Drosophila melanogaster: one gene and its partner. The protein of the gene in region 1 purifies or fractionates together with the protein of each later gene. This does not show direct contact. Each region holds a gene or a part of one and is shown in the gene's direction. Other genes may lie near its edges.

Region 1 (5,909 bases):
TTATTGTACATTACATCAAGGCGAAAAAGTAGCCATTCTTGGTGGGAGTTTGGTTTGGAAGGTTCTTAAACGACGTACCCATCATAGCCCAGAGCTTTACAATTAGGATTGAGACACGCGACGGCATTAGGAAATATATTAAATATGTTTTATTAAATTGAAATATACCAATTTAGTCTTGTGTAAATCTTAAAATATTTGCTTGTTGCTCTACAAAACCTAAGCTCAAAAATATTACTTTTGGAAGAAAAACATTTAAGTGGTGTTCGTTGAGAGGGACGTTTGGATAATCATTATCATTAGGCAGCTAAAATCAAGCATGCAAAAAAAAAGAAATGCATAATTGGCTACAGCGTTTCAGAACAAATTGAACTTGGCAATAAACCTGTACAAACATAATGCAACAATTGCAGTTGCATTAGCCATTGCTGACCAGAAATGCGATGTTCATTTCTAGTCATTTGCTTGGCGATCCAAAACAGATAAGGAACACAAACAATCCATACACACACACATGGTAAGTGATGTAAAAACTATGCACAATTAGTTCCCATTTTGGAACTAGGAGAAGGGGAAATATAATCGTACAGATCAAATAATTTCCATGGCCAATGACGCCAACCAAAGACTATCACATCGGAAATACAAGGAAGGAGACCTAAACTAACGAACTCATATTGCTCCGCATTCAGTCGACCAGGTGACGGCCATGGTCCTGCGGTGTGGAGAAGATAATTGCGTAGATAAGGCCGTCGCGAACCGATTCGGTGGGGTTGCCCACGTTGAACATGAACTTCACGCGATTGCAGTTGGCATCGGGCACACAGGAGTACATGGGATACCAGCCGGTCTTGTTGAACACCACGTAGATCTTGTAGATCTGGTTTCGGTATATGTACACCGGTCGATCGAACGTGATGTCCAGCAGCGAATCGTAACGCACGCGTGCCGTGCAGTGCGTGTATGTGATGCGTGAGCCGTGCATGTCCTGGATGTGGGCGTACAGCACCTCGGTGTATCGTTCCGTAAAACCGGCAGAAGTCATCAGCTCGCCGCACAGCACGCGCGTGGGCACTTGGACGCCCAGGATCCAAATGTTGGTGTCCACCTGGAACGTTACGCCCGCATCCGTGACGCTGGTGTTGCGGAAGTCAAATTGCCGGGTAAGGGAGCGCATACAGTACGCGCGCACCATGTCGTTGTGCGAATTTCCAGCTGCGGATCCAGCTCCTCCAGCTGCAGCGCCGCCAGCGGGCGCCGGTGCGCCTCGATCGCCGCCATCATCATCATTGGCGGGCGCTGGGACTGGCGCTCCGCTCTCGTAGCCCTCGCCGAAGCAGCGCAGTGGTGCTGGCGCAGGTGCGGCATCCGGTGGGACGCCCACCGGTTCCGGCGGGCGGATGACCAATTCCTCGCCTGCGAAGCCGAATCCCGTGCCCACGGATCCGAAACGGGGCGCAATGCCCATCATCATACCGCCGCCGGAGGGTCCTCCGCTGCGAACTGCCGGTCCCGGTCCCGGGAAACAGACGCCCGAGGGAGCGGCTCCAGTGCGATACGAGGAGGACAATTCTCTCTGGGCGTGTCGGTGGCCCGACTCGTAGAAGTTGCGCGTGCTCCGCGACACGCAGAAGCCTTCGGGCATGTGACAATCGTTGAGCGAGGGACTGGAGATCTTAATCAGGATGGAGAGGGCCTCGTGCTGCTGCAGCAGCTTGGAACGGGCCGGTCCCTCCGCGAACTGCTGCGGCGTCATGGTGAGAAAGCGAATCTTTTTGACCGCCTGCCTGAGCATGGCGCCATCGAGAATGGTGCGCTGGGCGTCCATGATGTTAATCATGTTGGCGGCGGCATCGGCCGAAGCGTCGCTATCGATGATTACCAGGTCGTCGGAGCCGGAAGCCACGTCCAGCGGCGGGGAGGCAGCCGTGGGCGCAGCTGCAGCCGCGGCAGCCGCAGAGGAAGTGGAAGCCATCCCAGCGTCCGTTTCGAAGCTGTCAGCCTCGTCGTCCTGGTGCATGTGCTGCACCATGGCCGCCACATCGGGCTCCATCTTGATCTCTTCGACCAGCACATGGCCGGCAGCATTGTCGGGCGATTCCTTGGTCAGCACCTGACCTCCGCTAGCAGTCTCTTCCTGGCCGGACTCGTTCAGGATGCCCCGCTCACTGGCAAACTTCAGCAGGCAGTTGAACAAATCCAGCTCGGAGTCGATGTTCAGGCGATTCTGGTCAAGAATGGCCATCAGGGTGGAGACCTCGATGTCCAGGAAGCTGGGATCGGACAGAACCTCGCGCGTGTTGGCCGCGATCAGATCCATGCTGCTTTGCATGAGGCGCGGCTCATCGAACAGCTTGGCAAACTCGTACGCCCGGCACGCGTTTTTCGGACTAAGATCAGCCCAAAGGAAATGGGTGCAGCGCGTGACCACGTGGGGCAGCATGTACTTCTTGGCCACGTAGCACAGCTCGCAGGCCTTGTCGAAGGACCCAATGGTGATGCGGTCCGTGTAGATGTACTCCAGCATCGCCTCGAACGCCTCCGGCTGCACGTCCGGAATGACGATGGGGTCCGTCTTATCGGGCAGGTTGCCATAGAACATTCGCTCGAACACCGGCGAAGCCATGGCCAGTAGCAGCTTGTGGCCGGCAATGAGCCGCTGGGTGGGCGAAGAACCCACCAGAAAGCGGCAGTCGGCCCACTTCTCCGAGTGGAGCAGGTACTGGCCCCGATCCTTCAGCTCGGTGAGGCCGTTTTGCCAGTCGATGTCCATTGCCTGCGGTGGATTGGCTGGGATTGGGATCACTGTAATCCAAACGTTGTTCGCTCTGATTTGTGTGAATAATCCACCTTTTTGCGAATCGGTTTGGGATTTTGCGAAATTGTTATTATTTTACGATACCGATAATTGAATGCGTGCTTACCTATCGATTGGCTGTCGTACCGATAGCAGAGGTCTGCCAAATGGCGTAATAATTAAAAGTCATGTTATGAGCTTTCTAGCAAAAATACTTAAGCATTTAAGGTATTATCAAGAGTAAACTCAAATCTTTCTTTAGATTTTAAGCTGTGATTTCAAAACTGTGACTCCATAGCAGTCGATAGTTGTATTAAACCATCGAAGTTGCCACACTGGTGAGAGCATGGATGGTATCGAACAGATATCGATTCATGTTCCAGCTCTAGTTCTAATAGCAACAATTTCAAGCGAAAATATTAATTAATTCGGCGCATTTAAGACACGCGGAGAAAAAAGAGCTAGCTCGAGATACAGGATCATTGCTTAGGCGGCCATAACCGAGAGAAAGAGCGAAAAAGGGCAGGCGCTTCAATAATAATAATATCTCTTGTCACCTGCGCCCGTGCGTTTGTGTGTGTGTGTGTTTGCGTGCGTGTGAGTGTCGCGTGTGTTTGTGCTTTGTTCTGCGAGCGTTCCGTTGCGTTTTGGAAATGGCAAAGAAAACCTACGATTTGCTCTTTAAACTGTTGCTGATCGGTGATTCAGGAGTGGGCAAGACGTGCATATTGTTCCGGTTCTCGGATGATGCATTCACGTCCACGTTCATATCGACCATAGGTGAGTAACGGGACCGTACGCACATACTTGCATCTGTCCACCCGCACCGCACACACACACACACGCGCACATGTCAGCTGCACAGCCAGGATATATATACGTGTGTGTGGGTGTGTGACTGGGCGTGGCACTGCCTTATCGACTGGCCTATGCACTGCTTGTTTCGATCGCCTGCGGAGTGGAAAGCGGAGGAGAAGTGAGCAAAATATGCCATCTATGTGGCTATGTAACTCCCTGAACTTGAACTTTTCGTACTAAACTACTGCATGTTCGCAACACGTAACACAGACGTGTGATCATTTGGTTGGAATGAATGCTTCATATACGTCTAATGTAATGAATCATCGTGATATCAATGTCGAACTGCTTTATTTTATTCAATTCCAATGTAATCGATAACACCGCCGTGACGTCATTCGGCTCAAATTGCGTTGGTTTTTCCGCACTACATTTGCTTTCTCGTTCAACCGTTTTTCTCAGGCATCGATTTCAAAATCAAAACAGTCGAGCTGCGCGGCAAGAAGATCAAGCTGCAAATATGGGACACCGCCGGCCAGGAGCGGTTCCACACGATAACCACCTCGTACTATCGAGGCGCCATGGGCATAATGCTGGTCTATGACATAACGAACGAGAAGAGTTTCGAGAACATAGTCAAATGGTTACGGAATATAGACGAGGTAGGTGTTTCCCCTGCGAGTAATGGCCTTTTCTAAAGTCTGAAATCTTCTTCTTTTTTTTTTGTTTTAGCACGCCAACGAGGATGTGGAGAAGATGATCCTCGGCAACAAGTGCGATATGACGGACAAGAGGGTGGTCAACAAGGAGCGCGGCGAAGCGGTGAGCATCCCTCATCCACAGAGTGCCCCCACAACAGCAATCACTGTCAGAGATTAGGAAATATAGTCGTAGTTAGATCGTTAAGCTCTTCTGCCATAGGAGTTGAGTTCGGAAATCGATCATATATTAGTGTGTTTAGCTTTCAAAGCCAACTGTTTTTTACAAGCGAATTCCATGCCCCTTAATAGTTTCCTATTGTTTTGATTTTTTAAGATAAGTTTGCAAATTGAACACAGCGAATATATTCGTTCTCTGACAATCAAGACGAAACTATTTAGGTGCTATAGTATGTCCGTGGTAATGAATGCAAGGGAAAATTTCCGGAGGCATACAATTTATGTTAGAACTATTCTGGTTATTTATTATGATTGTTACTCAATGATCGCACACGCCCCACGTCTGTTTGATCAATTTGTTTACAAAGCCAATAACTTGCTCCCCTTCCCCATCTCTGCCCACGTTTTTTAGATTGCCCGTGAACATGGCATTCGGTTTATGGAAACATCCGCCAAGTCGAACATAAACATCGAGCGGGCCTTCTGCGAGCTGGCCGAGGCCATTCTGGACAAGACATCAGGACGCGAGTCGGCGGAGAATCAGGAGCGCGTGATTATCGATCGCCGGAACCAGGAGAAGGCGCCGGGCTACAGCAAGTGCTGCGCGTAAAAAGCGGCGTTCTAGGCGAACGGGGCGTGGTTTGGCCCGGTTTGTGCTCAGCTGTGCGTGGGGAAGGCGGCGAAGTACGGATTGGATTGGATTAAACTGGACTAGATTGAATTGGAATGGAACGAAACGAATCGAATCGAACCGAAAGCAGTGGGGACCGGTTTCTGAAACCGCTCCGCACGGACGAAGCAAAAAACAAAGCAATAGAGCCGGGGTCATTCGCACGTAGGAAACTTACTTATTACGAGGATACGCAAAATGGAACAAGCAACAGAAACAACCTACCTAAAGTTTAACAACAAGCAACAGATATTGTAATACGAACATTTGGAAGCAACTTTACAAAACTCCGAACGATGGATGGTGGTCGGGCATGGGCCACGTTAGTTAACGCCCACACAACGTGGACGCAAGGATCTGCATATCCATGCCGCACTCGATCGGTTGACTAACGTGGATCGGATAACGAGGATCAGCTCCAGCCACTGTCCAGCCACAAGAAACGATAATGATAGCGCTGATGTCGCTGACGCAGACATAAGCAACTTTTGTAACGTACTTTTGATACACATATAGTCTTACGATTCCTGTACTCAGTCATTCGATCGCTCGCTCGCTCGCTCGTTCGCCACCACTCGCACTCCCCAGCCGCCCCACTTAGTGTTTCGTTTTTGTTTTGCGTTTCAGCCTAGATATAAATAACACCTATACATATTATACATCGGATAGTAGTATATAGCCTATACCTACTTAGCTTGCTTTCGCTTTCTATGTCGACGCCAAGCCAAGCCAGCGAGGAGTTCGATGGGGCGGGTGGTGATGTACG
Region 2 (5,909 bases), on another chromosome or scaffold:
ACGTGACCGCTCCGCCGATTGCCGGATAGCCGGGTGGTCGGATTGCCGGGTGGCGGGATTGCTGGATTGCCGATTGTCGAACGTGGAGCGTCCAGCGGCGAACGTCGAGTCAGCGCGCACGCCTCTTGCTGCGGAAAATATAAATAGCGCTGCTATAACTTGACTGCTGATGCAGTGGAATGGGGAGGGGTGGAGCAGGGGGTTTTCCACATCGCCTTTTCACGGGGTGCTAGCAGAATCCGAGACTACACAGTCGACGTCGACGTCGACGACGAAAGTGTTTCGTAACCGTTTTGGGCTAACTACAGCAATTCCTCCCTATACCCTATACCATATTCGAGTATGAGTGTGTCAAAACAAACCAAAAGATGAGTGTTGGCATCCCGGGGCAGAATGTTAGTATAGAAAACACTACACAAACCAGCACACCACAGCAAACAGAGTGGAGTGTGATAAGGGCCACATTACACATACATATTTGCATACTGATAATGGATGTGCCGCAGATTACGGGGTATCCCAGAGGGGTTGGTCGGGGGGGTCTGGCCCACCATCCCGACGGATCCGACTACGATTGGTCCGGACACGTGAATCGGGCGACTCACGTGGATATCGCGCAGTGATCGCGTAATTGAGATTTGCTCATGATCATGGAACTGGAAGCTGTGCAATTGAAACTGCCAAGTGTATAGCCAGATTACATAAGGTAACGATATTTAGTAGAAAATTGCTATGCCCCAGGAGGATAGGTCAGTTATAGGCTCGTACTTTAAAACACTAACATTATACAGTGGTCTACTGACTTAATGCAATATAGTTTTCTTAGTTCTATTATTAGCACTGATAAAGTGCACTTTATGTATTGCACTTTAATCAGTATTTATGTACATACATATGTATTTCATTTCATTTATTCTCCACTTTTCCGGTTTTCTGGCATTTGGTAATCGCCATCGAGAACTGTTTTTATGCGAATTCAATGGAATTTCTTCTTTCGATTCGATACTATTCACTGTTTGTTCCGCGTTAGTGTTTTACTGCCTGGTGAATAGGAAATTACGTAATATCTCCCGACCTTACTTTTTTACAACAACTCGTTGTTTGCCTAGTGTAGTACTTAAATAGCCGTCTTTGTCTTCCACTGCAACTAAGTTGATAGTCACCCCATCCATTCTGATAACCGTATCGCAGTGTTAAGCACTTAATTATGATTTATATAAGCTGTGAAGTGGTTTTGTAATAGCCAACCAGACAGTTTGGTGGCTGGGAAGTTATCGGCACGACCATATATTCCCCTTGTTAAACTATCCAAAGTTTCAAAGCCACGTGATCTGTCGATTTGTTCGTCGTACATTAAATAAATTGGTAATTGTATGCAGATTTAGACGAGTTCAATAGTTAGCTAGCACTGTTTACTGTTTACTCTACTCGAATTAGATTTTCTGGGAATTTATTCTGAACGCAAATATGTTTGTAGAGTGGGGAAACCCAAAAATTCACTGATTGGAACTTCAAATATACATATGTACGTATGTGTATGTACTTTAATGCTATACATTAAAATCAAATCAATAAGCTACATCTTAAGGCAAATACTTTTGCTTCCTTATCAATGTTCTTAAATTTTTAATTACCTTTCATAATGTTAATTAAATACGTAAGGAAATTTCCTCTAGTTATCCACTCTTACATGCAACTTAAAAAAGTGTCTTGCCTAAGCTTTTCATTCAAATCAGTTTTCCCAACTCCCCAGCCATTTGCATGTGTGCATTTGAATGCATTCTCGATTATTAATAATGTGCTGCTGGTTCTCTGAATATTTTGTGTAAGACGCTTGCGTCACCAACCCAACTGGCACACACACACAAGCATACTCACACGAACACATCGAACCCAAAAAGGGTAAAAAAAAATGAATACAACCAGTACCGAGAATCGGAATCAGAATGGGAATAAGAATCGCAATCGAAATCGGACTCACGCGGCCAAAGCACCTCAGTCACCTTACGTGTGTGTGCGTTCTTGTGTGTGTTTGAGCGTCAAGAGCGAACCCGCTGGCAAGAGCTACCCCACCCCCCGCAGCAGGCAATCACGTTCTAGTTTCGAATATGCAGCTCGAAACGATTTTGTTCTTGCCGAGATTGCCGCGCTGATTACTCAACAACAACGGCAATGTGATCGCTTGCAACGGGCATGCTGGTACATGTTCGAAGCGGCGATTGAGAAATTTCACTTTTACTGCATCGAACCGTTCGCAACATGTTGCGAGCGAACACGCTAGGTCGCGTGTATCGGATGCGTGTTGCCACAACGTGACCGCCGAGCAGCTCGTCGGAGAAATGCTTTTACAAATTCAATTGCGATTCAGCCTTCTTTCGAAGCGGTTCAGGCGCTCGCGATAAGTCTCTAGACTATACTACCAAACCATATAATATACAGCCGATCGGGTTCACAACCGCGATAAGCAAGTGAGAGCCGTCGGTCGAGCCGTTAAAAGCATTTCGGCCAAGTGCATCAAGCGCAGAAACGTCGCGTTAGCCAACTAAATCGGTCAAATTGGTTAAACCCCGAACTGCACAAGTGTTTGAAAAACAATTTTCAAAAGATTTGGATAATATCTGCAAGCGCACACAAAAACAATGCCAATTTGTTCGTTCTAACAACAAAACATTATGTCGATTGTCTGCACGCTGGAACAGAAAGTGAACTTTTTCAAAGCGGCTGCAACGACCAAAAATCTGTTGATACTCAAAAACAATACGGATACGAATTACATCAATAACTACAAGCAGGATAATCCCAGCAACAATAAATGTAGGTGTTCAAGTGCTACGAAAGTTATAACAAATAAATCAGTGTTACGAAAAGTTTAAAACTATGTGCTTCTTTGAGCAGCATTTTCGAACTTTCCACGTTTGATCTTGAAATCTGTTGAGAATTTGTGTGAAAACTGATGACAATCACAATATTTAAATATTTCTGCTCTTTTTGCGTAGTACAGTGGCAACTGTTAATCAGTTCTAGAATATTTACTAAACTTAGTCGGCTGAAAACAATAACACACGAAAGATTGAGACGCAAAACAAAATAGCCCGAAAAAGTGTGGGTGAATGGGGGGCTGAGTGGGGTGCGGTGGAATGACTGGCGAAGCTTAGTCATTTTGTTTTTGTGAATTTTGTCAAGATGCCGACTGCAGCGCTGCTCTCTGTGTTGCCCTCTCTGTTGCTCTCCCGTTTAGGGGTTGTCGGCAGAGTCTGGCCGCCAGAGCGCTTAAGTGTACGTGCATGTGTGTGTGTGTGTGTGTTTGTGTCTGCGAGCACATTGAACTGTAAATGCCAATTCGATGGTCATGGTGAGGGTGAGTGAGAAAGAAAGAGAGTGGGAGAAAGATGTCTAAGGGTACGGGAGCGGGGGCGCACTCACACACAGATGTGCAATGTGCGATTTCTTGTTTACATTCTAACACTTTGTCTGTGTGTGTGTGATTGTGCTGGTTCTTCGTCGCCTTTGTCGTCTAATTCTCGCTCCCTCTCTTTCTCGCTCCCACTCGCCGATTCTTGCATCATTCGGCGTAATCATTGTGTAAATGCCTGTGCTAAAAACGAAAGCAAACGGTAAAGCTATAGACGAGGGCAAGCAGCAAGGGCAAGGACCAACGAACAAAGAAAGTTCTGCATGTTTGTGTGTGCGTTGGGCCAGACAAGATCGCATTAGACATTTTGGGGACCCAACGAGTTTTGCGTTGAGTGGCGGACGCCTTGTCAATTTGTTAGCTTATCAAATGCTCAGCCTGATTAGTATTACTAAATATGTATATATTTTCTAAATGTCGCATATGTAGCTAGATAAGAACATTTGAAAGAAATGCCATAAATAGGTGATAAGTGATATTGTTTTGGTAGCAGGAAAGAGATATTCTTCGCAATCTTGGCTTTTAATTGGGGGCAAGGTCTTGTTTGTTTATTATTTTCGGGGCTGCAAAAAGTGTAGTCTGCTTCCAGGCGCAGGAAATGAGTGTTGTACAAATTGGTAGAACGCTTTAATTTGAATTCATAACAGAGAATAGTTGAAATAGTTTAAAAGATCTTAAAAGTGCTATACAATACTTTTTAAAGGTATAAATAAGTTTAGCAATATAATAAAATAAAATACGTCCCTTCTTAAGGAACTATGAATGTCAAAGAGACTAACCTCTCTATCTTTGCATTGCAGTTCCCCGCATCCAAGCTCAAAGCAACAACAGCCATCTGCAACACCAGCAGCAACTGCAGCAGAAACTAGCGCAGCTGCATCACTACAGCCAGCAGAAGCTGAGCGGCAGCGACTTTCCCTACGGGCCACGCCCCCCCACCGGAGGCAAAGAGGAGAAGCTGCTCCTGCTAGCGCCGCCGGGCAAACTCTATCCGGAGGCGTCTGTGTCCACAGCAATGCCCGAGGTCCTCAGCGGCACGCCCACCAACAGCCACAACAAAGCCAACATCGCCATGATGAACAACGTCCGGCTATCCAATATATCGCCGACTCTCTCGATGAACGGCAGCTCCAACGAGGCTTCTAACTGTAAGTGTCCGAGAATATAATGATGCAGTGGCTCTGATCATATCAATTATCTATCCATCTATAGTTCCAAAGCTTGAGAACTAATCCTATGCCCTTCTCTCCTTACAGTGCATCCGTTGTCCATGTACGGAGGATCCATAAGTCCGCAGTCAAATGACAGCGGCATGTCCGACAGTCTGGGCAAATATGTCCCGGGAAGCGGCTATGGAGATGGAATGATGGCCCAGTCGCCCTCACAGGGTGGCAATGGACCGCAGTCGGCGTTGACCGCCGCCCAGAAAGAGCTCTTCTCGCAGCGAAAGCAACGCGAATTCACCCCGGACAACAAGAAGGACGAGAGCTACTGGGATCGCCGGAGAAGGAACAACGAGGCGGCCAAGCGGAGTCGAGAGAAGAGGCGCTACAATGACATGGTTCTGGAGCAGCGCGTCATCGAGCTGACCAAAGAGAACCATGTGCTGAAGGCCCAGCTGGACGCCATACGCGACAAGTTCAACATCTCCGGCGAGAATCTGGTGAGCGTGGAGAAGATCCTCGCCTCGCTGCCCACCAGCGAACAGGTGCTGAGTAACACAAAGCGCGCCAAGATGAGCGGCAGTGGTGGCTCCTCCTCGGGCTCCTCGCCCTCGGGCAGTGGATCGGGCGAGGGATCGCCTCAAGGTGGCCACAATGGCTATCCGGTGGGTCCACCACTATCTCCACTGATCTACGGACCCAATGGCAATGCCCGGCCAGAGGCCACGGTTAAGAGTGTCCACCACATACATCATGCGGGTGTTGCGCCGCCACCAACGCACCTACAACAGTTGGTTGTGCCCCAGTCCCAGACACAGCATCTCTACCAGCCACAGCCGCAGCAGCATCAGCCGCATCAGCAGCAGCAGATTTCCCAGCCACCGCAGCAACAACAGCAGCAGCAGGAGCCAAGTCCCAGTGCCGGCTCCAGTTCGCCAGTCATCTCCGATCCGCACAACCGCCCGCCAAGCACCACCATTGCCAATCTCCAGGTGCAACTGCAGCAGGCACTAAACCGCAATGTCAGGCCCGAGGATCTGGACAGCTTGCGCAAGGTGGTGGCCGCCGGCGCTCTATACAATGCGGCAGCCGTGGTGGGAGCACCACCACCGCCACCATCTGCTGGTCTCTACGTGCCCGCTCCCAGCGCCTATAAGGATCACCTGGAAGCGGCTGCAGCCTGGAGCCACAATGTCGAGGCTGCTGTGAGCAGCAGTGCTGTGGATGCGGTCAGTAGCTCATCGGTGTCCGGCAGTGCGGCCAGTGTGCTGAATCTATCGCGTCGGGCCTGCTCACCCAGCTACGAGCACATGCTCTCCTCCACCACCTCCTCC

What was found. Proteins that work in one complex are often made in the same cells at the same time.
Region 2: the proteins of Rab10 (region 1) and vri purify together in Drosophila melanogaster (affinity purification with mass spectrometry, with the first as the bait; one large-scale study listed by BioGRID). This does not show direct contact.

Annotation. Positions count from the first base shown.
Region 1 is NC_004354.4:20,248,181-20,254,089, forward strand, and holds the start of Rab10 (Rab10), read left to right. Parts: upstream 1-3,157; 5' UTR 3,158-3,450; coding exon 3,451-3,577; intron 3,578-4,057; coding exon 4,058-4,257; intron 4,258-4,327; coding exon 4,328-4,417; intron 4,418-4,885; coding exon 4,886-5,083; 3' UTR 5,084-5,909. Other genes in the region: CG17068 (uncharacterized protein), read right to left, coding at 689-2,773.
Region 2 is NT_033779.5:5,303,353-5,309,261, forward strand, and holds the start of vri (vrille), read left to right. Parts: upstream 1-2,297; 5' UTR 2,298-2,672; coding exon 2,673-2,814; intron 2,815-4,212; coding exon 4,213-4,560; intron 4,561-4,668; coding exon 4,669-5,909.